3 linked regions of the Lytechinus pictus genome follow. The protein of the gene in region 2 interacts with the protein of the main gene of each other region in a pairwise test. Links are inferred from orthologs where the notes say so. Each region holds a gene or a part of one and is shown on either strand. Other genes may lie near its edges. The genes, in order: putative pre-mRNA-splicing factor ATP-dependent RNA helicase PRP1, splicing factor 45-like and U2 snRNP-associated SURP motif-containing protein-like.

Region 1 (11,220 bases), on a different chromosome or scaffold from region 2:
CCTCTCTCGATCCCTGTCCCTGGTATAAAAAAACAATACAGAATTCATTAACTGGTTGGTCTAGTTTAATACATGCAACAATTTGCAACTGATTTGAGGATGTTCATTTGTAACTTTGCAACCGATTTCAAAACTTTATAAATTCATGTTTTATAAAATAGAGAGCAAGGATGCCATCATAGCTCTGGGTATTCTCACATGAAAGTTACAATTCCATGGATTCCATGGAGACAACCATTTAATCCCAATTAGGCCTATAACTTTAGGCAATATGATTAACTACTGGAACACATCAAAGTACACTGTAGCCCGAAAGATGAAAAGAGAAAACTTATGTGCTGGAAAGGTATTCCTTCTCAGTTTGCTCAAGAAGAAAATGAGAGCCACGCATTGGAATGGAAACTTGAAGGTAAAGTTAATAGGGATTCTCCATTGCACATATTAAGCGCCACTCACCATCTACTTGCATGACATGAGTGGGTACAAACTTGATGAGCGACTGATATAATGCAAAAAAAAGGCATTATCAGGGGTCCTAATGCTACATGGATGAAAAAGTCTGTCAATCGCGATGGGGTAAGAGATGCATGTGAAGCTCAATTCAAATGAAGGAAGGAAAGAAATGACAACATGACAATCATGTTCACATTTGTTGGAGACAAACAACAATACTGAACAGCGACACAATGAAAAACTTGCATATATGGAAACAATGTACTGAGGAAAAATTAGTGAGCTGGAAGGAAATATCAAGGACCTGATGGCTAAAAGACACACAGAGAGAAAAAGAAGCCATAAGGAAACAATCAGTAGCTAGAAAGGAAATCAATAAGAAATGAGTAGCCTGAAAGAAAGTAATATCCGATAAGAGTATCGACTTGATGCTGAAATGAAAGCACTACATCAACATGTATGCCGAATTCAGGTTGCAGATGCTCTTTATAATAAAGGAAACTTAACACTTAAGTATGGTATGATAGAACGACGAAAGGGAACCTTGGGCACATTGCAGAGGTGAAAGTTTCTTCTTGAAGCGAAACTTATTTAATGGGAAAGAACCAGCAGCCAGGTCTAGCACTTATAATAATAATAATAATACAGGTATATTTACCCAGGGAAGCCGCTTCAGTTCCGAAAACTGTTCTCCCAGCGGGCCCTGCTATTATTATTACCCCGGCTTTAGCTGGGCTACCTAGGCGCTCAAAGCATTGAAGGAATTTCTTCCTGCCGGGTACCCATTCATCTCACCTGGGTTGAGTGCAGCACAGTGTGGATAAATTTCTTGCTGAAGGAAATTACGCCACTTGACTATATCCATGCAATTACGCGGTGTGCTGAAAGTGATGTGCTAGGAGAGGGTAGCAATACCATGACAGATAGGTGTGTTACCAATGCTACTGTGGATGCACAACTTGAAGAGAAGATTGGGAAAAGGTCAAAAAAGTTTAGATGTGGGATGCACCTTTTGGATTCAATCGCAAACAAACCTGATCCTGTGCTGACATCACAGGACAAGGAGCGGATAGTTCCAAACATTAACGCAATGCCATACCATCGGCGAGGGGAAAGTAATGCACAGGCTCTAATACATGCTGCTCAGCATAGCTTCAACAATGCTACCACTGGGATATTGTATAATTAAGACCTTGAAGGATAGAGGCTCTAACCGCTCTATCAATTATTTACCACCTTTGGTTGGTAACCGCTTCAAATATCCTGTTTCATAGTGTAGCAAGTAAGCGAGGTAGGAGATGGGATAACAAAATATTTTACTAAGGTAATGAAACCTTCAAATGACCTGCACAGAGCATTCATGAACACATGGACAACAGAAGCAAAGACAGATGTCCGATGCCTTGGTATCATTCATCACATGTTGACTGGTCCATGGATGGCAACCATTGGTGCCAGTAAGAGCATACTTGATCTGAACGAAATTTTCCAAAATGTTTGTCTTCACTGAGGAGTGTCAGAAGGACACAGAGCTAAGATTCCACTGAATCCACTCTGAGGTAATTACCTTCCCAGGCCAGATTCAGGATGTGGAGAACTGGAGGGTAACACAAATCCTACCCCTGAAATGAATCCACACTCTCCCACATCCTCAATGGTTTTGTTTAGTGCGATCATAAAACAGCAATTGGCATTGCAGCTACTTGAAGGAAAATTCTGGGATCCATTTGATGAACTTCAAGAAGCTGCGTTGTCATGTTCAAACACAATTAGAATTTCACACTATTAATAGTACGTACACTATGGCTTTGCGTTACCGGTGACATCTGTACTTTTGGCAGATACTTTGTTCTGTTTCAGAAGTTAAATGTATTTTACAATGCTATACATACAAGTAAAGTTTAAAGTGTTTTCACATGATGAATTTGATATTAAGGATTATTTTTATATCTTTCTTTGGGACAGTAACAGCTCTTGAATTTTTTGTTGTCCTGCATAACACAGGTGGAGAGTGATAGTGCCTGTGTATGTGTTTGGTGTGTGCTGTGGTGATTGACTGCACTGGCTTGTGAAAAAAGTCTGATAAACATGTTGAATCATGACACATGTCGAATATAGGCGCATCTCAGAAAAGCGACTAATTTTGTAATAAGGAGGCAAGATTTAACCTGTACCCAACCTAGCCTTGAGGACGCTGTGATGTTTTTTAATATTTTACATATACTTTTACTTGAAATGGTCGCCATACATGCCTAAGCGAGACTTGTCAACACAGATAGATTTCCTTAGGAAATCCATATTTAGAGGGTGAAATCGGTTTGTTTCTCTTGATTTTATTTATCTATGAACCTTCATACGCCTTATGTGTATGAAGCCTGAACTTGAAGGGGTAAAATATGTTAGTATAAATATGAAAAATGAGAGGTTTCGTACCAGACCAATCTCATGTAGATCCCTCGATCCATTCGTAAACACTACAAATACAATAGGCTTGACCCTTGAACCGCTTCGATATGACGTAGCTTCTATGAGCTATGTTACGAATAGACAGGAATAACCGTCGTTTCTGGGGATTTATTCAACAATTTCTGACATTTTACTGTAATCCCCATTTACCGACGGTAGGGTGTACGTGTGGGCTCGCATGTGTTCTCATTCCCTCCCTTTTGTCAATTCACAGTTCAAAGTTTGATGTAATTTTACACATCGAATTTACAATCTAAGGATGTATTAACAACAAACTTTTAAAACTTTGTATTTTAACATTTAAATACTTTAAACGATATAGATGAAAAAGGCATGAAAAATATACTTTACCGATGTTTAATTGGGTTGAACACGATAAAAATGGTCAAAATGGCAGCCAAACTATAAAATATTTACAAACGAACGTCAACAATCACGAATGTGATATCGATATTGCTTTCGATATTATACGATCTGCTCCATATGCGAACGAAACCGAAGATAAACGATACTAGTTATACTAGTACTAGTACTAGTTATAATCGCGATATATCGATTCGAGACATTAAGTTAATACGATAATGACGTCATTCAAGATGGCAACTTGCAAGAAAGACCGTCAGGTCAGGTGAAAATGTCTTAGATGACAGATTTCTCAATCATCCAGAGGATTTTTTTCAATAACTCCGGCCCAAGGTATGCAATTACTTAAGTTATTAATATTTCCCTGATAATGGAAACCATGAAACTTTCAATTTTGCTTAAAAAACAGTTTTAAATCGCGATCTATAAAACGCTAGTTCACTATACGTTGGCTGTAGGTACGGGGCCCCATCCCCTTCAGTCTATGTATGGTGAGTGGAGCCAACGTAGTTCAGCGGAACAACCAAAATACAGAGACTGAAGCTTTTGGTCTATGTTACGAAGTGCCGTTTTGAAGAACAATTCATAGATTAAAAATAAAATCATTATTTATTAAATAATAAAATTTGAGAATATTATTATAATTAATAATTTTAATATATGAACTGTTTGAAATGTATGGCAACGATTTCAAGGCTCCGTGATGTAAAAGTATATGTAAAAATATTAATAACATCATCACAGAGTCCTCAAGGCTATACCCAACCCCTTCCCAATATTTTTTTTTACCTTTAATGCAGTTTCGCGCAGGCCTACTTCAAAGAAATAATTTTCTGCAAATGTCACTCATAGTCAAAGCAAGTCTCTAGTCTCGATCACATTTTAAATTAGGGTCAATAATAATATGCCAATTGCTTTTCCGAATATCGCAATCAGGAACGGGAACATTTGCAAACAAATGAGTGGTTTGGGGAAATTTGAGCGAAGTTAGCCGGTGCGTGGCGGTGCGAAACTGCCATTTAGCACCATATTTTTTTTATTTTATGAAGAAGTACATGAACGATACACTACTTAGTAATATAAACACAGCCATGCCATGCAATTCAAAGTTGTGTTTTGTTCGACTCTGTCTTTGAGACGCACAATCATTTTTAAAAAAACTTATCTTACTTAGGTTAGCTTTAGGCCAGCACAGCATCGTCCCAGGCGCCACGGGTCATCGCGCCTCACAGTCACACATCACTGCTGCTAGTCAGACTCATCTATAACACTTCCCTGCCCATAGTCACTCATACTAGATATAGCCGATGCAGCATGCAGCGGCGAGCGCCATGCTGCATCCTCATCACTCAACGACACCCGTACGTACCGTACCGGTATCCACAATGGTCAATGCACATGTCACGATTACAATATCATTCTCACTTGAAGACAATAAAAAACAATTTTTCACGTATTAATAGATTGGAAAATATCACAAATCAGTATCAAGTCATCGTCATTACCTATAATCAGATTCTCCCTTCCGTTTACTGTATGAATCATCGATATCTAAACGTCTTTTTGACATTCTCTTCGGATTTCTCGCTGCAGTAGCGCAAAAAGGCAAAAACAATTACTCAATGCGACGGTATTTACCGTAGAGGGCATGCAGCAAAACAGAGAGAGTATCGAGTAAGAAGGTCGACATTGTATTCAAACTTAGCTACTGTTGTCAAATATAAGAAAAGAATCTCTTGTCTTATTTGGTTTACAATTACACTCAACGAAAGCATGTACATTATCTTCGTCCACGTAACAATGCGGGCATCTCCCATCTGTTATAGCATACAAATTCTTTCTTACTGGCAATAAATTATATATAACCTTAAAATTTGATTCTTTCAGTTTATTTTCTTTACAGTGACACAAGTTTCTTTTAAAAGTTTTTGTCCAATCTAATGGTGACCCAATTATCTCTTCCCAATACAAATAGCATCTGTTATAGTGCTCGATGAATCTAAGGATAATAGTCTATAGAATTGTTTACTTGAAATATCATGAAAATTTTTAATTTGATTTTTTGCTCCTACATCTATTTTGGGAAACTCTAATGAAGGTTTATTATTGCGGTTGGTACAAGGTAATGTATTATCATTTATCCAGATTTTAGGGATAGCCTGACGTAATAATGTGTAGTCGAATATCAATCTTTGCTTACTCTTCTGCGATTTAAGAAGGGAATGAATTTCCACGAAATTTCCATTCCTGAGAATATCTTTCAAAAATACTATATATCCCAGATTTATACCATCCTTCAAAAAATAGGGTGATGTTGCGAAAGGTTACATTTTTATTGTGCCACAAAATTTCGTATTGTAGACCATGTACTTTAGGGTGATATTCTAAACAAGCATTATTCTTTATCTTTAACCAGGCCTGTAATATTTTAATGTAAAAGACTGGAAGATGGTGCTTGCATATATATGTTTTATATTACAAGCATCAAAGTCTGAATTAAGGAGTAGTTTCAAACCACCTAAAATATTAAACCAATAAAGGCTGAATTTACAACACATTCCTTTACTTGACGCAAGAATGCGCCCCAGCCATCTTAGTCGAAAGCTCAATTTTGGGGTATATAGATTAATCATGTTGACCCCTCCATTGTCTAGTTTGTTGGTCATTATAGGTCTTTTTACTTTTTCAATCTTTGTATGCCAAATAAAAGTATATATTAGAGAATTCAGTCTTTTTAACATTTTCTCAGGAATAATATCAACCATGAGAATATGTACTAACTACTAACTGACTTAAACCTAGAGTTTTGACAATGGTTACTCTTCCAAAAATAGTAAGCTTTCTTTTTCTCCAATTATATAATAATCTTTGCAATTTCGTTAGTTTATTTTCCCAATTCATTTTACGTGCTTTTTCTATATCAGGTGAGATGTAAAACCCTAAGTATTTTGTAGGAATATCTGTCCATGATAGACCAATATCATTGAGTGACCATTTGGAGTTACTTCTCCCCACCCACATGATCACTGTTTTAGTTTTATTAAGTTTTGGACCTGCTACATTCCCAAATAACTCAAGTTCTTCATTTATCAATTTTAGTGATCTTTTATCTAACACAAAGAACAGGGTATCGTCAGCATGTTGTAGTACTTTAACCTCACAATTATCTTCTGGTTTCAAAACAGGTATACCTCTTATGTATTCATTATTTCTTATTTTGTTAGACATAAATTCTGCTGCGAGGACAAAGAGTAATGCTGAAAGCCTTGTCTAATTCCCCTTTGTATTGAAAAGGACTCTGATATCCAGCCATTTACTAATACAGAGCTTCGAACATCTGTGTACAACATTTTTATCCATGTCTGGAAATTATTTCCAAAATTCATTTTTTCCAGACATGAGGACACAAAATTTATATCTATTACATCAAAAGCTTTAGAAAAGTCTGCCATCATTATAGCACCATCTAAGTATTTTCTTTTCATAAATTCAATGACATCAATTGTAAGACGTATATTAAAGGCAGACAGGCGATGTTTTATATAACCAGTTTGTTCTTCGCTAACGATCTGTCCAATAACCGATTGCAATCGTGCGGCCAAAACTGCGGTCATTATTTTATAATCGCAATTTAAAAGTGAGATTGGCCTCCAGTTTTCTAGATTTCTATGGTCTCCTTTCTTATAAATCATTGTAATAAGACCAGCTTTCTGACTTTCAGACATTTTCCATTTGTGAAGCATTCATTAAGAGCGCTCGATAAAATATATTTGATGTCGTCCCAAAAGGTTTGGTTAAACTCTATGGGAATACCATCCAGACCAGGTGATTTGATTTTATTCATAGAAAAAGCAGCACGTTTGCATTCGGCACTTGTTAACAATCCTTCACATTTATTTCTTCCTTCATCACTCAGCTTTGGAACATGAACTGACTTGATGTAATTATTTCTCTCAGTTTTATCGATATCAGATTTTCTAAATAACAATGAATAAAACTTTACGACTTCCTGTAATATCTCTGTTTGTTTAGTACAATATTTATCTTTGTTTACAGATAACAATTGGGTAATATTTTTTCTATCTGAATTATATTTCTCTAAACCTAAAAAATAACTTGTGCACTTTTCACCTTTTTCTAACCACCTGACTCTTGCTCTAATAGCAGCACCTTTACATTTATGCATTATACTTTCTGCATTATATATACGAACGTGTGCATGTGTTAAAAAATAACAAGCAGATCACGCGAAGATGGGAAAATTAAGGCCAGCTTAATTAGACTCCGGAAGCCGGAAGAATTAAGAAGGAAGAAGAAGAATTCAAATTTATTCAGGACTCATCATAAAAAGCATTAAAAAATTTATACAAGTACTACATAAGGTGAGATGAATATAAGAATTAAAATGACAAAACACAAGGCATAATGATCAGGGGTGACGATCAGAAGTAAAGGAGGTTTAAAGGGGTGGTCCAGGCTGGAAATATTTATATCTCAATAAATAGAGTAAAATTCACAAAGCAAAATGCTGAAAATTTGATCAAAATCGGATTACAGCCCGGACCATTAGTTAACACGGACATATTATAGAAATTTTGCACACTTTGAAATTAATGCCTGTAATGTATTCCTTTTGAGAAGAAGAAGAAGAAGAAGCTGAGAAGAAATCGGATAACAATATAACGAAGTTATTGAATTTTAAAGATTTGCATTATTCAGGTGAAACAGTGTTAGGCATGTCTTTATGAATATTCATGAGGTGGGCTGATGATGTCATATCCCCACTTGTTCTTTTGTATTTTATTATATGAAATTAGGTTTATTCAAATTTTTACTATACCAAGAAATAAAACAACTAGATTGACAACTGATTAAGTGCATTATTGGCGCAACTTATTTCATCAAAATATGGAGACACATAATTTACACATGCATGAAAAAATTAAACAATTATGATTTCATGTAATAACATAAGAAAAAGGAAAGTGGGGATGTGACAGCATCAGCCCAGCTAAAAATAATGAATATTTATAAAGACATGCCTGGAACTGTTTCACCGGAATAATGCAAATCTTTAAAATTCAATAACTTTGTTATTTGTTATCCGATATTGATCAAATTTTCAACATTTTGCTTTGTGAATTTTACTCTATTTATTAAGATATAAATATTTTCAGCCCGGACCATCCCTTTAAGAAGAAGAAAATATATTTACTTATACTTTGTGGCCTGTGCGATTTTTGGGGGCGGCGTTATTTGTATAGTATGGTTTAATTGATATGCATAAATGATTTTCCATTGGAATTGGACAATCTATAATTCCATTAATTTTCTTAAAAAAGCTACGAGCGAGTGAAGCGAGTTGAATTAAAGAATTGCCTTTTTATTATAAAAAATCTTATTTTTGATAGATTTTTATTCATTCTGAAATATTTCACCCCTTTCATATCATTTTCTTTATTATTGTTATTCTTTTTTTGGGGGGCGGGGGCTTAATTGCCCCCAGACCATAGCCGATAAACCCTTTAGAGCTTCATCTCCTTCCGAGCTAGCTGCGACCAATTTATTTTCATTTCACTTTTGTCATTACCATGTTCGTGAAACTTACTTTATTTTTTAGGGTTATTCTCAGAAAAATGCACCAAATTATTGATGGGAGAAAAAATCGTAAAAATGAAGTCTACAGAGTGGGTTGAAAGATGCATATTGTGAAAGTACCATGTATGAGAAAGTGGCAACAGAAAAGGGGCAAGTCGCTGTTGCGTCAATTTGAAGTACTGACCGGATACTGAAGCACTATATATATATCAATGTTATCGGAGGTTAATCGTTAGCATTGCCCACTTATGTCACTCAGTTATATCACTTTTGAAATGATTGAAATAGAAATGCACACAATTCAATATTAGTGTGGTATCAACAATTTCATTTACTGAAGCCAAAATGTTTGCAAGATATAAAAAAATATTCAATATTGTTTTTCAGAAGCAGGATTTTACCAAATAACATAACAGAAAAAACCATAAAAATCATTGCACATCTTTCGTTTAGTTTAATGTTCATAATTTGAATGAGGCAACCTTAAAATAACTTTTCATCCAGAACCTGAGATCCTAAGCTATATGCATGACCAATTATGGGAATCCAAAGATAGTTACCATCAAATCCTCTCAAAGGCATTTACCCTTGTCAATCTTCGTTACGGAAGTTAAATCAAGTTACAAATTGCAATACTTACTTTGTTAGCTTAGGAACATCCATATTTAGGTATTCGTATCGTATAACATTTTTTTAATTTATTAAAGATGAATGTGGAACGCATTGTTTAATTTTGCCACCCCCCATTAAAAAATGTTAAAAACAGACCAACAAACTGGCAACTGTCATATTTTTTGTCGTTCTTGTTCATAGTTGCAATAAGAAAACCGAATAACCGAGCCACAGAATTGTAGTTCATCTTAAAAGTTTCTGGCCCTAAGTAATCCTAAGCAAGATCCTAAGCAATATTAACGCATGGCCAATTCTGGGAATCCCAAAATACTTTACAATCAAATCCTCGAGTGGCATTTAACCTTGTCAATCTTTGTTACGGAAGTTTAATCAAGTTACAAATTGCAATATTTATTTTGTTAGCTTAGGAAAATCCATATTTAGGTATTCGTATAACCTTTTTTAATAAATAAAAATAAATGTGGAACGCATAGCTTAATTCTGCCGCCCCCTAAAAAAAATGTTAAAAACAGAACAGGAAACAGACAACTGTATTTTTCGTTGTCGTTGTTGTTCACAGTTGGAATGAGAAAACCGAAAAACCGGGCCACAGAATTGTAGTTCATCTTAAAATTTTCTGGCAATAAACAAAATATAACAATCGCAGGCCCGTAACCAGGATGAGTTTTCTGCAGGGTTACGAGGAATCCAGCCGCTTGCCAATAGCCAAAAAGATAGAGAGAAAAAACATTTAAAAAAGCAAAAAGGACATGGGGAAATGAATAAAAAAAGGAAGGTGAATGAAACAAGAGGCTAAAAATTCACGTTTGTAAGTTAATATACACAAATTATTAATGGAATCTATCTAATCGCGATATTTTTTTTTTCATTATTTTGTTTCATCGAGATACGCAATTACGCATCCTGTTCGTGATTTAAAAAATGATAAATAGCCAAAATGTTTGATTATCGAAATACGTATTTCATTCCTATAAATTCCAACAAACCGTGAGTGTTTAAAATATCCCTTTCCATGTTTTCATGTCAGTGGGCCTATATCAATTATTTCAGCGCTTTTCATGCGCATTAAAGGGGTCATCCAGGCTGAAAAAATGAAAGAAAAATGTGATCTGAGCAGATAATAATCAGACAAACAAAATACTGCAAATATGTTCAAAATCGAACAAGGAATAACGGAGTTATGCCATTTTTAAGATTTGCATTATTTTAGTGAAACAGTTTAGTCTATATGCATATCTTCATGAATATTACAAGAGTTCATTGATGGTGTACATATTACACATGTAATCCCCACTTGTTCTTTTGTATTTTATTGCATGAAATTATTTTTTATTCAATTTATATATCCTCTTTATTTGAAAGCGTGCTTAAAATGTCTGGCTTTCATATTAAAATGACACATATTTTCAGCTTGCGCGCTTCGCACTCGCTGCGCATCATTTCCTCAGTTAGCAAGACATCCACCCTTTTTTATGATTACAAAAAGTCAATAGAATGTCCCGTTTTGGGGTCTAAACCTCAAAAAGCGCACGTTTTACATTTGCAATAATTGTTCATTGGCTATATATCTTGTTCTCAAATTAAAACGTCCATTAATTATTTTTTAAGATCAAAATATAAAAAATTTCAGTCGCATCAATTAAGATACCCATGCATCCTTGTATTTGGTACAAATAGTGTTTATAATGTCAAGCGGCAGTCAGAATA
Region 2 (11,307 bases):
TGATTCTTTAAATTATTTTTTTCTTAATTAAAAATAGAGATTAAAAAATGCAAATTTTCTTACCATATTACTTTCCACCAATAGAGGGCGTACACAAAAATATATGCCCAAAATTAAGTTTTTGAGCGCTCTGGTGAATACAAATATTATTCCCTGGGGCCCGTTTCTCAACACCGTCATAAGTCTAACTTCTTGACTAAATCGGAGATAGTGAGCTACTTGTCCGCTAACCGTTTCACGAAGCCCTCTTTACCAAGATCGGGTACAACAACCTCACTAAATATTTATGACACCTCCGAACCTGTCATAACTTCTTTCTTAGTGACGTAGTGGCATCACGTGGGTAGACTATGACATGCGAAAGTGCCTAGAAATTTTAAAATTATAATCTTACGTAATCAATCAGAGGTTGAAATTACATCACAAAACAAGTGGGTTAATGCATTCAATGATAATTGTAATACAAAGAAACTATAAAAACTGTTGGTAAACGCCACAAAACCATTCATTTTGAAATAGTAAAATGATTTAATCGATCAAGATTCTACCACGTCAGGCCATCCATAACTGAACTCGTATTTGTTGTTTTCAGACCCCTATTAACAGTTGGATAAATTCTATCTCTAATTTATGCATATAATTTGTCCAATATCGTATCTTTCGGTATCAATGATTAAAAATGTTTCGTTAAACTATATTTTGATGACGTTTGGAATCGTAAAAGTCCGTATAATTATCATCATTTTACAAAGAAAACTTTAATGGTTTACTTTTGTAAACTATTAAAATTGGGTCTCCCGGGGGTACCCATCTCAACGTCCGCAAGTGATTCTTTAGTCATGAAATGAATTATTCATAATTTAATTTTCTCTGCAATTGAATGCTCCAGTCTTCATGGTCTAAGTATGTATGATGCATAATTCACCTGTGCTATTATTTTGAAAAGATTTATTTCCCAATTCATCATAATATTTGCAATTTTGTCATAATTTTTCTAATTGAAAATTATGCTATTTTGTGACTAAGGCTACGTCTCGTCTGCTCTTTTTACCGATAGTATCGATATCAAGGTATTATTTCTAGTTAGGAAGCCTTTCGAGAAACAGGTTTAGTAAGATTGGAACTAACTCCGTGGTTGGTGGATAAAGATATGACTAACTTGTCCATGTGTTGAGAAACGGGCCCCTGGTTACTAATGACAAATAAATTGCAACTGTATGGAAATTATTAATTTTGGTCACAAAAGTGACATTTTAATGAATTTTTAAAGTGTGTGCTGTGTACAGCATTGGCATACCATAGTCCTACCTGTAGATTCCGGTCCCCACAGGCAGGATGGTTGCAGTGAACAAGTGGCGCTGGCAAGCACGCCTGTCGTTTCGGGAGAGTGAGTGTACGGAGCTGATGTGTGCGAGTCTGGACTGCGAATGCTAGTTGACTGAAAATCATTCCGATCGACTGCGTGATTCATGTCTTTCTTTGTTTCATTTTAAACTAAGTTATATGTTGTCATCTGCAAATATCATTGTTGAACTTATTGGGAAGAATTCTACATTGGCCTTCGGCCTTTTTGTGATCATGGAAAATACAAACTTTGCTCTGTGACATCTGCTTGTGCAACACGCTCACCTGGCCAGCACATACCGTCATAGACAGCTGGCAGCCGTCTGTTTCGAGGAGTTTTTTAACATATTATTATTTTTTGAATTTCTCCTCGTACACAGACGGCTCACTATCGTGCAGCCACCATTAGGGGACTTACAATGCAAAATCCCCCCGTCGGGGCACTTCAATTTTTGTCTTTAATGAATCAAACTTTTGAAAATTAACCCGACCGAAATGCAAATTAATATTCCATCTTGGCATTAATTGCAAAAAAAACGGGGAAAATCAAGTTAAAAGGAACAAAAACAGTGACTTACCTCGGCTAGCTGTCGCGCAACTTCACTGCCCTGTTTTATCCTAACTTAATACACATAAAGTTAACAGATATATGGCCATTGAGTCCCCTGTACAGATCGCGCTAGTAGAACTTCGGTCTCTGTATTTGGTGAGTGAAGCCAACGGAGTTCAGCTGAACAACCAACATAACAGAGACCGAAGCTTTTGGTCTAATACCGTCAGTGCATACAGTGCGCATCGATGCGACAGCCGGCCAGACATGCCAGAGGCAGAGCAAAAAAATAGACTTGATTTTCCCCGCCATGCCTTCAAAATTCGATGCATCGATGTTTAGGAAATTGGCAAAGCCGATCTCCTAATATTTATATAAAAGTTAGGTCCTACCTTAATTCTTGCTCGCCAGAAGATAGAATGGGATCCAGCCGCTCAGAATCTCAGATAAATTGCACAAATCCGTGAATAGAAATATATACACTTCACAATTTCAAATAGAGTAGAAAAAGGGACAGATGTCACAAAATGTCTCGCGAAGTAATGAGCTCATTAAATATGCAGAGAATATAGACTTCGAAGGAGTGGAAGTGACGGTAAGAAATAAGATTGGAAAATGCAGAGAAATAATTAAGTATAAGTTGATCCTCCACAAGATTTGATTCAATCCTCACTAGCAGCTGGATGAGATGGTCAGCATGAGTGGACAGGACGAAGGCAGAGAGTAGAGTGATGATGTGGTAGAGAAAACAAGTTGTTTTTACCAACATCAGAAAAGATGAGACAAAGAAATAAGCGTCAAAAAGGGAGGCAAAACAAAGTTGAAAAGAACAAAGAAGAGAGAAGCAGACTGTGAGAAAAGCAAACATGCAAGCATCTTGTAGTGATGTTGTATACCTGCAAGTTCATTGTAATAAACAAGGAACAATGAAAGGATGTTTGCTACAAGTCTAGGAACAAAAGAAAGGTTGTTTCTCAATATAAGAATGTGTTTGCCAAGTAGATTTGGGCAGGAAATGGTCTTGCTCTGTGAATGTACAGTATTGTAGTACATACACATGGCGTGAACAAGTGAGAATATATGAAATTTGAAATAAAAGAAAGAATTTATATACATATACAGAATGTTGAAATATAAATGAAAATATATACAAGGAAAGAATACATAGATGTAGATATATAAAAAGATATAGTCAAGTCACTACAGTAGCTCCCCCCTAGATTTGTACCGAATAGAAATGTAGTAACAAATCGACAAGGGAAAGTAAAAGGGAACTTGGCTATATAAAACAAGAAAATAAAGGAGTGGAAACATCCGTGAATTTTGAGAAATGTTTCAACCGTCTCCGAAAAATTGAACGTACTTGGCAGGAAACCTGACATGGCGACCAGAACGGGTCTTACGAATTTCGGGAGGCATATGCTTGTCATCAGGATCCCCTGCCAAGTCCGTGGAGTTGGATTGTTGATGAACTTGGTCAGGTGGATCTTGATGATGAAATGAAGGAGCGGTAGCCTCCTGCTCGATGAAAGCCGGTTTCAGTCTGTCGACACTGACATTTTCATGTTTACCATTATAATCGATGGTAAAATACTTGTCAGTGCGACGGATGACTCGGAAGGGTCCTCTGTATGGAGGTTGCAATGGCTTTGTAACAGCATCATCTCGTAGAAAGATGTGAGATGAAGAATGCAGTTCAGGAAGTAGATTTGGGCAGGAAATGGTCTTGCTCTGTGAATGTACAGTATTGTAGTACATACACATGGCGTGAACAAGTGAGAATATATGAAATTTGAAATAAAAGAAAGAATTTATATACATATACAGAATGTTGAAATATAAATGAAAATATATATGATGGGGTGTCCAAACTTCGCGCACTTTTCAAAAATATTTATCAGGCTTAAATTTGTTCACAAAATATTCATAATTTATACAAAACCAATTCAAGAAATAGTTACCACATTTACGGCAAGATCGTAAACTGCAAAATCATGGACGAAAATGTAAAGTAGGTCAAGGGGATTCGCCGGTATCGCGATCTCAAAATTCTATTCTGATCGGCGAATGCGCGCTGTGCTGGAAAACCGTTCAGAAAAGTGTGACCTAACTTCGCGGAGCAAAGTTTTTGTGGACATTTAAACAAAAACTCAAGCTCAAAAAATGAAATATTTATATCAGATTGATGGCAAAATGCTATAGAATCGGTTAGTACCACATTTAACTCACATTTTTGATAATTTCTGCTTGCAAAATGGTGATATCGTGATGCTTGTTGAAAATATCAGATTTCTTCAAAACGGGCGCCAACAGTGACAAATTTGCCGATCTTTTGCCAATATTTTCATGAATACTGAACTCATCCTAAAGAAACTTACACCAAAGGGTAATTTTAGGTCGCTTTTCACGTTGATGATGTCAGATTTTAAGAATATTGGCTAGTTTTTTAGATAATGACCGTCCGCGAAGTATGGACACACGCGAAGTTTGGACTCACTGCCATACAAGGAAAGAATACATAGATGTAGATATATAAAAAGATATAGTCAAGTCACTACAGATGTTTGATCGAATTAAAGCTGTCGAACACCGGTTTTCAAAATAATCGATATGAGTGACTCAGGCTTAACGCTTAGTAAAAATAAATTTTGTGACCTCTAACGTTATACTAACCTCGTACTAGTGTGAGTGGGCCGCCTCTGGCTCTCCAGTTCATTTCCCATCACCGCGCCGTCTACTCTTTATGACTTGCCATTTACTCTTACTGCAATCTTGTTATGAAACGCTATATGTTTACACTGACGAGCGCACTCAATTGGAGTCGGCATATGAAAGTTTAGTTCTATTAAACTTGGCCCTTGGGCGTAGCGTACCGGTATCTTTAGGCAAAGTAAATGTCTTTCTTTAACGTTCTATACATATTCACACACCTAGATAACTGAGGTTTGACATAAATATTAAAATATAATTGGATGTAAAGCATACATACCGGTAATTTGGTTGATCTTGAAGACGCTTTCGAGCAACTCGTTCGTGCTCGCCGCTAGCGCCGCCTGGACTGAGATCCAATTTTTTGTGATGTGTCCTTAATTATTCAAACAAAACTTCAAAAAAAACAGAATTTTGGGTTCCAGAATTTTACATTTATTTTTGCATCTTATTACATTTTGAAATATAAAACAAAATATTTTGATATTATTCAGGTAAAATTCATTTTTAAATTATGAAGAACAATATCATTATATAGCCTTTATAGGGGAAGCAGCAGATCAGACACGACGGAATGTAGAGCTAGCTCTCGATCTCGCTAGCTCTCTCCAGCTCCCAGGCCCAGCAGCCAATATATATCGGCTCGACCGTCTAGCTGTGACGACTGTGACATGCAGGCGCTAGGCACTGGCACTGCAATGCCAAAGGCTAAGCTATTTAAAGTCACGAGCTAGCTGACTTTCGTTAGAAAGATCTGAGTTAATGGTGATTCAAATCATGGATTGTAATGCATACATTTATTTGAGTGTCAAATTGTGAGTAGACGAGATATTATTTCATTTCAAGTGGAGGGGACATATTGAGAGATTCTGAGTAGGCCAAGTAACGAGTAACGGCACGTTATTTAATTTAAGTCTACACTATGTACTAACGTAGAACTGAACTTTAGCGTCTTCATTTCTCTGCTTCTATCTTTTGATGACCAATATTTTCTCATTTTTTCTTCAAGTTAGTATCAATACCCTTTCATTTTGACAAACTTTCAGTCTTTCAGTGAAAGACGTCGACACGCATGTCAAAATCATGTGTTCAGATCAGCTGCCTGAAAATGAAGCTGACGTCAATTTTAAAGTCTTTGTTACTTAAAAATTAAAATCCAATCATTACTCAAAAGTCAATACTTTGATTTGATGTGGAAGAGAATTATTTCCATTAGGCCTGTGCTTCATGCTCAACAAATTTTAGCATTATCACATCCTTTTTATGAGCCTTTATCCCATGAGTAATCCTATTGTGTGTTGACGTGTCTCATGAGGCTGGGCCGTTTTTCTCCCATGTACTGTATCCCACTGCTGCCACCAAATGTGGAATGTGAAAATGAGCTGTCTGCAGTTGTAGTGCAAAAATAGATAAAAATTTCTAAATAAAGCTAGGGGATTTTATCCAATGCTTTCTCTATTGGCCTACAATACATCAGGGCCCTGATTTTTAAATAGCGGGTGCTGACATAGACAGGAATAACCGTCGTTTCTGGGGATTTATTCAACAATTTCTGACATTTTACTGTAATCCCCATGGAGCCAACGTAGTTCAGCGGAACAACCAAAATACAGAGACTGAAGCTTTTGGTCTAGTGCTGACACTGCTGTACTGGGCCGGGGGGGGGGGGGGTTCAGGGGGTGTCTTTAGAAAAAAAAAGTTGAAAACCAAACTAAAGGGGTTATTTAAAAAAAAATTTTTGCTTGCTTGTCAGCCTGAATTCCATGGGGTTCTGCATATGGTAAATAGCTGCAGCCCCCCCCCCCTGGAAAAATGTGGGTGCTTCAGCACCCAACTTCCCAGGGCTATGCTGTATATTTTACATTTCTATTCATTGTTATTGAATTGCATATGAACAAATATTATGATAGCAGAATATGTTGGGGTTTTAATTTGTTTCTTACTTTTTCATCGACAGAGAGTTTGAAAGCTCACCACCAGTTATCGAGGAGAGGATGTTTGAGGTAATTGTGAGTTTGGCATTAAAGCAACTTCATGGTGACGTTGGAGTGGCAATTCTGGTAGATCTTTTGATGTACGATCCTGAAAATATTCAGGGAATCCTTAAAGTTCGTCAGAGGTGTGTATCTAATTATTTACCATTTTCTTAGAGAAACCAAGAAATGTCCAAGAATATCCCTATCCCCCTCCCCAACTACCCCCCCCCCCCAAAACAATTCAACCTGGCCAAGTTGCACTGGTAGAATTCAACACATTCAGTCGTCCACTAATCCCAAACTATGTGCATGCATATCTGGAATGTGTCATGTAGAGGTCAATTTGGATAGTGACAGTGGACGTCAGTGGTCTGGCTCAACCAGCCCAGAAAAAATCTGACCACCACTCACAAAAAACACTGCTCCCATCCACCACTGATTTCAAATGAAATAATTGCACACCTGTTCATATCCATCTTTAATCTTGTTATTTTTGCATAATTTACATTATTTATTCTTACATGTGATATTAGTAGGCCTATATTTTCAAAGAGTTGTTAATTTAAGATTGTTATTACATTGATGTTCCTTCACTTTTGGCTTTAAATAAGACTGCTAACTCAGCCTGAAAAAAACTTTGTAATGCTGTGAAATAGCGACCACCACTAAGATGGGTCTAGCTAGAACACTGATTCACATTCACAAACAGAAATTTGTATGAGGAAAATTATATATTTGAATGTCTGCTGGGGAGTTCATATTCCAAAATGCCATTTTGTATTAAATCTAATCAAAGTATCTACATTAACTTTGTGTGGATTCTGGGTTTTTTAGTTATAAATATCTCGTCATGAATTTGAGTTTATTTTAATAATAAAAATTCATCATGCTCAGAAAGTTTTGTCTTTAAAGCTAAATGATAGTAGTTGCAGTAAAACACTAATTTCGTGAGAAAGTCTGTAAAACCAAGGTTAAGTATGACTATATCACCGTGGATCTAGATCTGGTACAGTTACATAAACTGAACTTTGTGAAATCATAAAATCTAAGCTGAAATACGATCACACTGAAGATCGCCAACACAGATAGGCACACGTGGGACAGTGTATTATTATTGCTGGAATAAAGACCCGACGGAAGTGACAGAATCCGCGCTTATTTTGCTAATTTCATAGCAATTACACAATTTCTTCCAGAATCCTTTGGCACATATTTTTTATTCATACAAACAGACACTTAGGTGGTCATTATATTAGATTCTGTAAAAAGTCATTTTGAGATCGTCACCAGAACTGGAATTTATCTTTAAGCTTTGACATCATAATATTAATAAGATGATAAATCATCCTCATGCACCTTACACCAATATACAAACATGTACCAAGTGCATTGGAGGTGTAGTGCTGGCACATACTTTATTTAATTCTATTAACTTTACCTGGGATTTCCAAGAAGTTCCCATTCACTTATAAAACTAATTGGTATGTTATTATAAAATACTGTATATGTATCAATAGTTTTCATTTATTTTAAGTACCCCATTCCTGCCCCTAAAAGGAAGTACATGTATATACTGCAACTCAAACTGAAGTTTGTTTATTAACCATTCCTATAATCATATATTCCATCTTCACTACGTTTTTGTCTGTTTATTTAATGGTTTATTACATTGTCAATGGTTCACAGTCCCGGGGGGGGGGGGGGCCACTTCCATTCACGAGTGGATACCATGCGCGACCATGGGGTCTCGAAAAGCACCCTAAACACGTAATTTCCATATTCTGAAAATGCACCCCTTGACAAGTATTGGCGTGTGAAACCCTACCCTAACAAGTATTGGAAACAAAAACGATACTCTTGGCAAATATTCCCTGAAATGAACCCCTAAATAAATACAGGAATGTTTTATTGTTACGAGTCCTTCGGTCGTCGGCTTTACCTTATTTTGGTTTAGTACGACCCCACCTTCTACACCTCGCGCAAATCGGACTCTAAACACGAAGTGTTGGGTCAAAATGGACATCCTTTATAAAACATTTTAATTTTGTTTTATCATTCCCGCAAATTCGACCCTAAACACGTAATTTTCCTAGCGAAATAGACACCCTTTTTTCATTATTTTTGTGTTTTTGACAACCTTATCACGTTACGTACGTAACGTGCCCTATCGTGAAAAGGACATCCTTTTTACGTGTTTTTTTGGTCGCGCATGGTATCCACTCGTCAATGTAAGTGGCCCCCCGGGTTCACAGTACTACTATGAAAATGAAATCATCTTCAAATTCCCAAAACACACATGACATCTTTTAAAAAACAATAAACATACAGCATGTTAAACAAATTGTATACAAAATGCAATAACCATAAATGAATCAATTTTTTTCTGAATTAATTTGTATCACTGTCATTCAATGTCTTTTATTGTAAATGTCATAATTATCTTAATGTTTGAAAGTTTTTAAAGTGAACTGATTGTATTCACATGTTTCTTATTTTCCTATACGGTGGCACAGAAAGGCTGCATTTAACACCCATCATGAATTATTCTGGAAAGGAGTATGGGTCTGGTCTTCTATAAAGGACCTACATACTAGTATATTTTCATTTTCAAGGTTTTGGTACCAATAATTCTAGGAATAATTTTGTTCTGTGAAGCTTTCCTCTGCTTTCTATTTTCGTTAAAATCAAATCAAACATTCAAAGGATACGCATGTAGCTATGCAGTACATTAACTTAACATGATTTATTTTTATTCAGTGATTTGGTCAAGCTCTGGAGTGCCTTGACACTTTATGGATGTTTTGAAGACCAGAGATGTGCTTTCATTGCACGAAAGGTGAGTCATCTGCACAGTTGCCTTTGTACTCTTAGGTTACATATATACATGTTTTTATTGTCTCGCCTGCATAGCAGAGCGAGACTATAGGCGCCGCTTTTCCGACGGCGGCGGCGTCGTCAACATTGAAATCTTAACCAAGTTTTTGAAATGTCATCATAACTTAGTAAGTATATGGATCTAGTTCATGAAACTTGGACATAAGGGTAATCAAATATGACTGAATATCCTGCCTGAGTTTCAGGTCACATGACCAAGGTCAAAGGTCATTTAGGGTCAATGAACTTAGACCATGTCGGAGGAATCAATTTCAAAATATTAAGGTCCAAGGTTAAATTTTGAAATGTCATAACTTTGAAGGTATATGGACCTAGTTCAGAAAACTTAGACATAAGAGTAATAGTGTATCACTGAAGATCCTGTCTGAGTTTCAGGTCACATGATTAAGGTCAAAGGTCACTTAGGGTCCACAAACTTTGGTAATGGGGGGTATTTGTGGAATTGCCATCATAACTTTAAGTCTATGGATCTAGTTCATGAAACATGGACATAAGAGCAGCAATGTATCCCTGAATACCCTGTGTGCATTTCAGGAACATGGCCAAGATCAAAGGTCAAACTTTGGCCACGTTGGGGTTGTTTGAGGAGGAATTGTCATCATAACTTTAAAATTGTATGGATCTAGTTCATGAAACATGGACATAAGAGCAACCATGTATCCCTGAATATCATGAGTTTCAGGTCACATGAGGAAGGTCAAAGGTCACTTACGGTCAAAGAACTTTGGCCATATTGTGGGTATTTGAGGAATTGTCATAACTTTGAAATTTTATGGATCTAGTTCATGAAACTTGGACATAAGGGTAATCGAGTATTACTGAACATCCTGTCTGAGTTTCAGGTCACATGACCAAGGTCAAAGGTCATTTAGGGTCCATGAACTTAGACCATGTTGGAGGAATCAATATCAAAATATTAACCAAGGTTTAGTTTTTAGATGTCCTAACTTTGAAAGTATATGGACCTAGTTCATAAAACTTAGACATAAGAGCAATCAAGTATCCTTGAACATCCTGTGCTAGTTTCAGGTCACAAGACTAAGGTCATAGGTCATTCAGGGTCCACAAACTTTGGTAATGGGGGGTTTTTGTGGAATTGCCATCATAACTTTAAGTCTATGGATCTAGTTCATGAAACATGGACATAAGAGCAGCAATGTATCCCTGAATACCCTGTGTGCATTTCAGGAACATGGCCAAGATCAAAGGTCATTTAAAGGACAAGTCCACCCCAACAAAAAATTGATTTGAAAAAAAGGAGAAAAATCAAACAAGCAAAAAACTGAAAATGTCATCAAAATCGGATGTAAAATAAGAAAGTTATGACATTTTAAAGTTTCGCTTAATTTCACAAAACAGTTGTATGCACATCCTGGTCGGTGTGCAAATTGGCAGACTGATGACGTCACCCACTCACTATTTCTTTTGTATTTTATTATATGAAATATGAAATATTCTAATTTTCTCCTCTTTGTCAAGTGAAACAAAGTTTTATTTCTCCCTGAACATGTGCAATTACCATTATTTTAACAGTCTATGGTTAAGTTAAGTTGGTCCTTATTGTCAAATCTGTAAAAATTGAAATATTGTATTATTCAAACAATAAAAAAACAAAAGAAATAGAGAGTGATGGACATCATCGTCTCTCTCATTTGCATATCGCTGAGTTGCGCATTGAACTATTTTGTGAAAAATAAGCGAAACTTAAATATGTCATAACTTTCTTATCTTACATCCGATTTCGATGAAACTTGCAGCGTTATGTTTGTTTGATTTTTCTCTATCGATTCAAATCAACAATTTTCTGGGGTGGACTTGACCTTTAAAGGTCAA
Region 3 (11,412 bases), on a different chromosome or scaffold from region 2:
TGGTCTTTATTCTCTTTGTTCTTGTTTCTTCATTGTTTTCAAGAGATTATGCACATGGTATCGTACTACACGTTTTTTTTTTTTATTATTATTATTATTGGAAACTGTATAGATATATGTAAATAAACAAGTGGAATGCCTCTGGCCGTCTCACCTGCATCACGCGATTCAATATAGCAGCAGTGCTGATTTTGAAAACTACTATAACTCGCACAAGATGTTCAGTGATACTTGGTTACTCTTATTTCCACGTTTTATGAACTAGACCAATACACTTATAGAGATATGATGGCAATTCAACAAATACCCCCAACATGGCCAAAGTTCTTTGACCTTACATGACCTTTGACCTTGATCATGTGACCTGAAACTCGCACAGGATGTTCAGTGATACTTGATTACTATTATGTCCAAGTTTTATGAACTAAACCAACACACTTTCAAATTTATGGCTGTAATTCAACAAATACCCCAATTTGGCCAAAGTTCATTGACCCTAAATGACCTTTGACCTTGATCATGTGACCTGAAACTTGCACAGGATGTTCAGTAATACTTGATTACTATTATGTCCAAGTTTCATGAATCAGATCCATAAACTTTCAAAGTTATGATGGTAATTCAACAGATACCCACAATTCGGCCAAAGTTCATTGACCCTAAATGACCTTTGACCTTGGTCATGTGATGTGAAACTCATGCAGGATGTTCAGTGATACTTGATTAACCTTATGTATAAGTTTCATGAACTAGGTCCATATATTTTCTAAGTTATGATGACATTTCAAAAACTTAACCTTAGGTTAAGATTTTGATGTTGATTCCCCCAACATGGTCTAAGTTCATTGACCCTAAATGACCTTTGACCTTGGTCATGTGACATGAAACTCAGGCAGGATGTTCAGTAATACTTGATTAACCTTATGGCCAAGTTTCATGAACTAGGTCCATATACTTTCTAAGTTATGCTGTCATTTCAAAAACTTAACCTCAGGTTAAGATTTGGTGTTGACGCCGCCGCCGCCGTCGCCGTCGGAAAAGCGGCGCCTATAGTCTCACTCTGCTATGCAGGTGAGACAAAAAGTGAAGAAATAAATGAACACTAATATATTAAAGGAATATATTCGTTGATCAAAATTATTGAGTGATCAGCAAACCATCTCTTTAAGATTTTGATGCCTATTTCTGGAACCCAGCGTCTGACAGGGCTTTGCTGCAGAGCTGCCAACCACACTTGACAAAAAATCCTATTATTTCACCCAAAAAATCCTATTTTTAGACAAAAAATCCTATTCATACCCGTCGTGTACTTTCCTACTATACATCTCATTATTTTGTTGTGCTCACTGTAATTTGACCTTGGTCATGTGACGTGAAACTCATGCAGGATGTTCAGTGATACTTGATTAACCTTATGTATAAGTTTCATGAACTAGGTCCATATATTTTCTAAGTTATGATGACATTTCAAAAACTTAACCTTAGTAACTGTCCTTAGGTTAAGATTTTGATGTTGATTCCCCCAACATGGTCTAAGTTCATTGACCCTAAATGACCTTTGACCTTAGTCATGTGACATGAAACTCAGGCAGGATGTTCAGTAATACTTGATTAACCTTATGGCCAAGTTTCATGAACTAGGTCCATATACTTTCTAAGTTATGCTGTCATTTCAAAAACTTAACCTCAGGTTAAGATTTGGTGTTGACGCCGCCGCCGCCGCCGCCGTCGCCGTCGGAAAAGCGGCGCCTATAGTCTCACTCTGCTATGCAGGTGAGACAAAAAGGAAAAAACTGTCTGCTTATTTTTTGCTAGAAAAGACACAGCTTCGAAAGAAACCAAGTATCAACATACATACAAATGCACATATGGGACTGTGATGTACTCACCTATGTGTTTTTATGTGTATTAATACATTTGGAAATCGGTCTTTTTGAGTCAAAAGAGAGGTCATAATTCCTGTTTTTAATGCTTGCAAATAGATTTTCAAAGTTCTGTGGAAGATATCTTAGCAGCAACATTTCGTATCGTAGCTCCCCGAGTCTGAATAGGCTGATAGCGCACAGATAGCTACATGTAGCTGCAGTGGTTTCATGCAAAGCTCACGTACGCCAGCCGGCCGGCTGGATAATAGCTACTGTATGCTAGAGCGGTAAGCCTATGTACTGTCATGTGTGTGTGTATTTGTGTGTAGATCAACAAAAAGGGCGCATGACGAATTGGTTGCAATTTGAACTGTATAAAGTTGATAAATGGTGCAAAATCGGGAGAAAAATTGCGCTACTTTGAAAATTATTGGTTGCCCGATTCGGGCCACCAAAACTTAACATTTTTCAATAATGATTGCCCGAGGTGGATTTCTGTTATGTCGAGCCTTACCATAGCTATATTTTCAAAAAATCGTATTTTATTTGTAAAAATCCTAGTGTCGTATTTTAAGTGAAAAATCGTACGGAATACGACAAAATCGTACTATTTGGCAGCTCTGTTGCTGGCTTAGCCTAGAGGACTCCGTGATGCAAAATGATTTTAAAAATATCACGGAATCCAATGCTGGCTCCCACATATTTTTTTCTCTCTCTCTCACTTGTTATGTTTTCCATTTTGTTTATTTTGTATACTGTGCATGTATCCTTAGTTTTAATTTCAATTGTATGTTGTATGTTTTAATGAGAATTTAAAATAAATGAAATGAAAATATATGCAAATCTCATTATCATGCACCTTTTCCTTTTTTTTATAACAAGTACGTAGCAAGGAGGCGGTGGGATGATCTTCCCCACCCTAACTCCCCCCCCCAAAAAAAAAGAGAAGAGAAACGGTGATAGCGAAGGGGTAAACAATGGCGAAAAAGAAAGCTTTGCGGGATTTTCTTTCTCATTCTCTCTAAAATTTTACTTCCGCGCATGTTTGCGAGAAAATCCTTGTTTTTCTCCTTTGTTTACCTTTTCTTTATTACCCCGTTTTTTCATCTCGGCTATATTGCTAGTTTGTTTTGTGGCGGCATCAAGTTTTAAAGAATAATATTTGGGAACGGAATTAGTATTAAGATTATAGGTCAAAGTATATGAAGTCATATTTTATTCAAAATGATCACCAACGTTCCCGATCCTTATAGGTCAGGGTGGTAAACTCTATAATGATAATGCCGTATACCCACAAAGGCTACTTCTTCCGTTTTTCAGCTCTTTACTAGTCGGTCATAATTTATTTGGGGACCACGGACGGCCTGTTCCTCATTTAAAAGGGGGAGTTATAAAAATTGTGCCGTATATATAAAAAAAGACAGTACAATATTACTATAGAATTATATGGAAGTTTATGTCATCAATCTCCTGTCGTCTACTTTGCGCCATTAATTAAGTTCCTAATCATTCAAATACACTGTTAAAATAAATTTAAAATCGCTGTCTACGATGTGAATCACACAGTAATTGTTTAAACAGTTTAAACAAGTATTTAAAATCTTAAAACACACATTTTAAATTTAAATATTTAATTATCAATAATTAAATTCAAATATTAAATTATCAATGATTTAAACATGATTGTTTAAATTTTAAACACTTGTTTAAAATGTTTAAACAACTACTATGCAATTCTCACAGTAAACAGCGTTGTTAAAAATATTTTTGACAGTGTAGAAGTGCTCCATATAAATGAGTTCAATCAGGGGCGGATCCATGATTTTCCAAAAGGGGGGCACAGGGCCAATGAAAAATTTGACAAGCAAAAAAAAATTTTTTTCAACCAAAAATTGAGGATATTTCGTCCCCGAAAAAAAGGGGGGGGCAGGTGAGGGGTTGATTATGCTACTGCCATGCGGTGAATTAAACAACAAATGGTGATTGGTGATTATCAAAGCGGCAGATTTTTTTTTTAAATTATAAATATATATTAACATCTTGACTTAGCATTTCTTTTTAAAGCAGGCAAAATTGTTTTTAAGTATTTCCTTTTGTTTTAAAACCATATTCAATCCTTCCTCATTGTTATAACATGTGAAAAAGATAAATAACATGAAATCATTTACGTTATTGAATCAGAATTCATATTTAAGAAAATCATGAATTGGTTATTCTAAATGTAAAATTAGAATCCATTTGTAAATATTTGTTGGATTTTTTATAATCACAAAGGGAATAATAATAATAATACAGACTAAAAAAATTCGGATCTAGAAATCTCTGAATATATTAAAACACAAGCACACTATTGATAAATATTTTTTTCATTTTTAGTATCATTAAATCAAAATAATTTGAGGAAGTTATATGAAATAAAACACACACCAAGCGAACATTCACGCTTTACCCCCCCCCCCCTTCCCATAAACAAAGCATAAAAAAGAATGAAAAGGAGAAAGAAAGAATGAAAAGGAGAAAGAAAGAATATAACAAATGACAACAAAAACTTATCATAAAAACACAAAATGTAACAAAATAAAAATATATATGAAATAAATATTTTTTTTCATAAATATAGATCTATTTTTTTCCAAAAAAAAAAAAAATGAAAAATGGTATTGAATTATATGCCTAAATCACGATTTAATTGAATAGAGACGACTTGCCGAAAGTTTTCACTCTTACATGCATATTCATTAAACTGTGCTGTAAAGGCATGCAGTGACGACATCTTATAAATATTCATATGCGCATGCGCAGAATTTTACCTCAAACATGGCGATCTCGCGATTGGAACAAAAGTCCGAAAATTGATGCTCTTTTGAAGGATTTCATGGAATTGTATTCATTATTCTTATTTCAAAGGTAAGCTGATTTAGGAACAGTTTGCTTAGGTAAGATTGATATTACTCGTTAGATTTTTAATTCATTATGATCATCGGTTTTCTAATGCCAAACATCGCGAAGTTTTGTACTCCGGTGATAACGAGTGGTTGCATTCAGGACCTCGACACTGTCTAAATAGACGTGTCGAGGTCCCCGGGGCAACCACTGGTACTGCTGGCATCTTTCATTTCAGACAAATACACTAACTTAGTTTCAGTCACTCTCTTTCAGTCGTATAACTCACATTTTACACTCAGGCAGCTAGCAGACATGCATGTGCATGTGCAATGAATCGACACGCTCACACCTAACTTAGCCTGGGCCTGCATGCACTGTATGCAGTGACACACGTCAGTCTCACTCACTCACTCCATCACGGCGCGGCACCAGTCATGCCAGTTCACAGTTGCGTTGAGTGACATGACTGCGTGCTTGGTTGCAATATTTCCTTTCGGACAAGGTGTCAAGAAATATAATCTTTATTCAACACTCGTAAAAAACATTCAAAGACTCAGAAACACCATCAATATTACAATAAGTTTACAATAACTGATGATAAAATATAATAAGCTCGTCTCACCTTCGCCGTTCCAGGAGCGAGGCCCGCCATGATGAATAACCTTCGACCAGAAACGCACGCGTCTACATATCGCACGCGCGCACGGCCGGCCGGCCGGGTACGTACGGGCGCGGCGCGAGCTCGTCGCCAGATCTGCACATTGGATAATGGATACTGCATGCATTTATCAAAACTATGTCTCCTAAATACAATACATGGTTGGCCCTAGATCGAGTGATCCTTTTAGGGATGCACCATTAGATATATCCAGGGGGCTGCAAGTTTTTCAAAAAAAAAAATTGACTTGCTATAATGAGCAAAAAGGAAAAAAAATGACTCACCATCCGGCTCACCATGCAGATATAGAGTAAAAAAAAAAAAAAAAAAAATTGGTCCACTGACAAATCACTGATCCGAGAGGACCGGAAAGGGGCAATTAAAAAAACTTGTTTCGATGGACTAAGGAAAAAAAAATTTACACAAAGAAGAAAGGAAAAAAAATTGCATCAATTAAGTAACCCAAACTTCCAGCCTATCTAATGGTGCGTCCATATGGCCCATATGGCAATTAAGCCCATGCAAACAGTGGTGGATCAGCGTCAAACTGAAATATATATGTATGTATGTATATATATATATATATATATATATATATATATTATAATAATATATATAAGAATATATATATATATATATATTATAAGAATATATATAAATTATATATATATATATATATTCGGTAGATATTCCACGTGTTGGAGTAATATTAAGAGAAACAAGGTTGAAACTTTCATGCTTTAATCCAACAAAATCTATTGAAGTCCACAAATTTTCGATAAAGACGGTTTGTATACTCGTCGAAAATTTGTGGACTTCAATAAATTTTGTTGGATTAAAGGAGAATGAAACTCTTGGAGCAAGTTAGCTTTTGTGAAAGCAGAAAAATCAAAGAATAAGATCAACAAAAGTTTGAGTAAAATAAGACAAGCAATAGAAGAGTTGTGAGCATTTGAATGTCGAGATCACTAATGCTATGGAGATCCTCCCATTGGCAATGCGACCAATATCTATGATGTCACAGATGAACAACTCTCCCCTTTTGGACACTGAAAATATACCCCCAAACATCTCTTTTTGCTCATTCTAATCATATGACAAACGATTCATCAATGATATAATGTTGTGAAACCTCTGTACTCAGGGGCGGATCCAGCTTTCGCCAATAGGGGGGGGCCGAAAAATATTTTCATCAACATTTTTCTCGATTGGCCGCTATATAATCAGATTTTTTGTTGGTTTATCAGGGGGTAGTCCTAACTAAAGACTGAAGTTTTAAGTATATGTTAGTTTTTATTGTTATAAACAAGTTAAGGTATCTCATGTGGTCTTAATATATAATGCGATCGCGAAGCGCGAGCTCAAATTCTTTGATATTTTATGTCCTTAGACCTGAAGATTCTGAGAAGATTTTATAATCATGAAAAAGATAAGTATCCAACTAAACAATGCGAACGCGAAGCGCGAGTCGAAATGTTATTATAGTAACGTGAAAAGAGGATTCAATTAGGACTGTTTTTTAGTGATAAATGAAGAGGATTACAAGTATCACCAATTAAATAATGAGAGTGCGAAGCGCGAGCTAAATTTTTTTGATATTCCGACCTGAAAACTGGACAGTCTAAGCGCGTTTTTATTTTAATAAAGAACAAAGCTGTGTGTCTCAAACAATTAAATGCGAGCGCGAAGCACGAGCTTAATTTTTTGATATACTGACATGATAAAGGAGCATTTTGACAAATTTTGGTAAGAATTTTTCAAAGAGGATAGGTAACTCACAAATCAAACAATGCGAGCGCGCAGCGCGAGCTGAAAATTGTGATATATACTAACAATTTGTGTAAATCAAACAAAATAATGAAAGCTTGATGTGCGAGCTAAAATATTGTGTGCAAATTGATTTCAGAACTGGATATATAAGTGCCATTTAATTCTCTTGAATGGGATTCATTACACAGGCAATGCGAGCGCGAAGCGCGAGCGAAATCTTTTATATAAAGTCTATTTTCCAATTCTTCCCTCACCTTTTTCTTGTTTCCTTTCGGGGTCGGGCCGGCCGTTACGAGGCTGTAAATTACACATCATGGGTATGCTACCTCTTTCTTACTTTTCTTTCTGTTTTTCATAATTTCTATCAAGTTAAAGAGTACACTTTTTTCTGCAGGTTGTCAAAAAATAGGGGGGCCGGGGCCGGCTCGGCCCCCTCCTGGATCCGCGCCTGGTACTTGTCATCTCATAAAGAGAACACCTCACCTTGTGATAGACTCTATAAAAGTGAGAATATAAGTGAAATAAGTACTAAAGTAATGAGGGAGTTGTACGTGTGTGACATCACAGATCTTGGTCGAATTGCCAATGAGAGGATCTACATGGCATTAGTGATCTCAATATTCAAATGCTCATAACTTTCTTATTATTCATTCAATCTTCCTCAAACTTTCAACAATATGTTTCTTTGATTTTTCTCTTTGATATGGATTCAGCTGGTTTCAAGGGTTTCATTCTCCTTTAAAGCATGAAAGTTTCAACCTTGTTTCTCTCTCTCTCTCTCTATATATATATATGAAAAACGTGATTCAGTAGTGAATCAGTACAGAAAAAAGAAGATTTTGCAGAAAGCAGTAAAACAATCATTCTGCAAATTCATTAAACAAGAATTTTTTCTGCAATTTAACAGAACAGGTCTGTTTTAAAAGGAGAAAATGCTGTTTTATTCAAGGAAATTTGTAAGGTTCCATACACCAAATACCAATTTCCTGTAAGTTTACATGATATAATGTAAGATTGCGCAACCTGGTAAGATTGCAGGTATATATATATATATATATATATATATACATATATATTAGTTTTATTGAAAAAAATAAAAAACACATTCACAAAGTTTACGGTTTGATAAAAAAAAATCACTATCAAAAGAAGATAAAAAACAAAAAACATACACATGTATCCAAAGAATGTTAAGCTCCGAGATAGAATTAGACCGACATACGAGAAAAAAAAACCCAAAACATCAAGTTCAAGTTCAAGTTCAAGTTTCAACTCAATGATAGCCTACAACATCACATATAGGAAATAATTACACAGATATAAAATGAAGACCATACAAACCGATACAAATGGATACATGTATATCCATTGCAAGCAATATGACTGTACAAGAAAAGTAAATAAGTGTTTATGGTAAACACTAAATAACGTAATAATCATAAAACCAATAACAATAGGGGGCCTATATACAGTGACAATAGAACAAAATGTAGAACATTCTCGATAAACAATTTGCAATAACAATAACAAATGCACAATCAGATGCCCATCCTGTTCATGATTACCAAAAGTGATTTAGAAAGTCAAAATTTAAGGTCAGAATATCACAAATTTTCATCTCGCTCTTCGCGTTCGCATCAGTTGTTTAGTAAGGTGACGATCGATCCTGTTCATGGATAGATATAAGTGCTTAGAATTTCCAACTTTGGGTCAAAATATCAAAAAATTTCAGCATGCACTTTTGCGCTCGCATAAAATGTTTTGTTAGCTATATATACTCATTCTGTTCATGATTACCAAAAATGTTTACTCGAATGTCCAAATATTATGTCAGAATATCAATTTTTCAGCTCGCGCTCGCGCTTTGCGCTCGCACAATAATAGACACCCATCCTGTTCATGGTTTACAAAATGTGCTTAGAATATCCAGTTTTGGGTCAGAAACTCAGAATATCAAATATTTATATAGATACCCAACCTCTTCGTTGTTACAAAAAGTGCTTAGAATGTCCAGTTTGGGTCGGAAATACAAAAATTGTCAGCTCGCGCATTGCGCTTGCATAAAATTTTGAGATATATACCCAAATGTTCTTGATCACCAAAAGTGCTTACAGACTTTCCAAATTTGAGGTCAGAATTAAAAAAAAAATTTTCATCTCCCGTTTCGCACCAGCATCAATTTATTGTTTATACCCATCACGTTCACGGTTACAAAAAGTGCTTAATATCCGATCGGGGGTCCGTTGAAGAAAGAGTTGCGTTTCAACGCAAGTCAAAAAATCAACCGCAAGTCCAAAATGCGCGCTGTTGATTGGTCGAAAATCAAGTTGCGCATGATTTTTAGAGTTGCGATTGATTGCAACTCTTTCTGCAACGGGCCCCAGGGGAAAACATACAGATGAAAACATTTTTCCACCTACCCCCTCAAGTTAGCGAAAGTTGGATCCGCCCCTTATAAAGAAATGTTAGCTCCCGCTCACATAATTTTAGTAGGGCCTACATTCTGATGAGAAGTTAAAATCCCCAAATGCTTAAAATTCTATGCTTTCAGGGGGCAGTTTCACAAAGCTGATAGTAAGTTAAGAGCGGCTTTAAGAACGACTGGGGATCCTTTCTTTTTAGAGCGTAAGAAGGGTTTACCAGTCACTCTAGACTTACGAATAGCTTTATGAATCCCCACCTGGTCACATTTATTCTTTTAAAAAAGTGATGACTTTTTTTCATGAACACATTAAAAAAGGTGGTCTTCGATTGCCTTTTTTTACACGTGATTGTTACATAAGATAATTTAACATACATTTAAGGCATATGTATATATATACATAAATATACATATATATATATATATATATATATATATATATATATATATATATATATATATATATATATAAATGTGTAAATGTGTATATATATATATATATATATATATATATATATATATATAAATGTGATCAATCTTGGCGATGTACGTGTACGGGTCTCCTTCATAATTATATTTGAGATCAATTGTATGGAGAGGGCCGTAGCAAGGTCAATACCCGTCTTCAATACCCGTCAACAACCCCCCCCCGTATATATACATACATATATATATATATATATATATATATATATATATATATATATATATATATATGTATGTATATATACGGGGGGGGGGGGGTTGTTATAATTTGGCAGCCTGTAAATTTGACTATTTTCGCCATTTGTATACGGAACATCACAATAGGCCAGGAGATGTAGGCTTATCTAATTAATTCTTCTCATTGTAATCACTTTCCCCCTCCTATCCTGTATCTATTTTTTTTTTCTCTCCTTCGTGTAGCTCTCTATCTCTTTTTTCTTTCCTTGTTCGTTCCTTCTTAATTTACCCCTAAAATTTTTTGCCGGATTTTTGTGCCGCCAAATAAAAGGGCCACAGCGGCGCCCAAAGTTTGGATCCGTGCCTCCCTACTTCTTTCTTTCCTCTATATACCTGCGCCCGTACGTATGGATGCGCTCTTTACTTTGTTTGCGAGCGCGGCGCGGCGAGCACGTTATGAAATAGAGATCGGGGCCCGTTTCTCAACACATGGACAAGTTAGTCATATCTTTATCCACCTACCACGGAGTTAGTTCCAATCTTACTAAACCTGTTTCTCGAAAGGCTTCCTAACTAGAATACCTTGATATCGATACTATCGGTAAAAAGTGCAGACGAGACGTAGCCTTAGTCACAAAATAGCATAATTTTCAAAATGTAAAATTATGACAAAATTGCAAATATTGTGATAAATTGGGAAATAAATATTTTCAAAATAATAGCACAGGTGAATTATGCATCATACATACTTAGACCATGAAGACTGGAGCATTCAATTGCAGAGAAAATCAAATTATGAATAATTCATTTCATGACTAAAAAATCACTTGTGGACGTTGAGATGGTTACCCCCGGGATATCCAATTTTAATAGTTTACGAAAGTAAACCATAATGGTTTTCTTTGTAAAATGAGGATAGATATACGGTCTTTTACGATTTCAAACGTCATAAAAATATAGTTTAACAACTTTTTTTTCTTTTTGATACCAAAACATACGATATTTTACAAATTATATGCATAAATTAGAGATAGAATTTATCCAACTGTTAATAGGGGTCTGAAAACAACAAATACGAGTTCAGTTATGGATGGCCTGACGTGGTAGAATCTTTATCGATTAAATCATTTTACTATTTCAAAATTAAT

What was found.
Region 1: the proteins of splicing factor 45-like (region 2) and putative pre-mRNA-splicing factor ATP-dependent RNA helicase PRP1 interact in binary tests that used the Homo sapiens proteins (3 or more experiments, as listed by UniProt). The link is inferred for Lytechinus pictus from reciprocal best matches to the Homo sapiens genes RBM17 and DHX15.
Region 3: the proteins of splicing factor 45-like (region 2) and U2 snRNP-associated SURP motif-containing protein-like interact in binary tests that used the Homo sapiens proteins (3 or more experiments, as listed by UniProt). The link is inferred for Lytechinus pictus from reciprocal best matches to the Homo sapiens genes RBM17 and U2SURP.

Annotation. Positions count from the first base shown.
Region 1 is NC_087256.1:1,565,840-1,577,059, forward strand, and holds the start of putative pre-mRNA-splicing factor ATP-dependent RNA helicase PRP1, read right to left. Parts: upstream 4,915-11,220; 5' UTR 4,853-4,914; coding exon 4,788-4,852; intron 20-4,787; coding exon 1-19.
Region 2 is NC_087247.1:38,894,072-38,905,378, forward strand, and holds the start of splicing factor 45-like, read right to left. Parts: upstream 5,516-11,307; 5' UTR 5,419-5,515; coding exon of another isoform or gene 5,366-5,418; 5' UTR 4,884-5,365; exon of another isoform or gene 4,880-4,883; intron 2,371-4,879; exon of another isoform or gene 2,287-2,370; intron 1-2,286. Other genes in the region: ribonuclease P protein subunit p14-like, read left to right, coding at 5,366-5,418, 6,561-6,722, 9,337-9,415. UniProt on the Homo sapiens protein: Splice factor that binds to the single-stranded 3'AG at the exon/intron border and promotes its utilization in the second catalytic step. Involved in the regulation of alternative splicing and the utilization of cryptic splice sites.
Region 3 is NC_087260.1:6,517,177-6,528,588, forward strand, and holds the start of U2 snRNP-associated SURP motif-containing protein-like, read right to left. Parts: upstream 5,453-11,412; 5' UTR 5,404-5,452; coding exon 5,374-5,403; intron 1-5,373.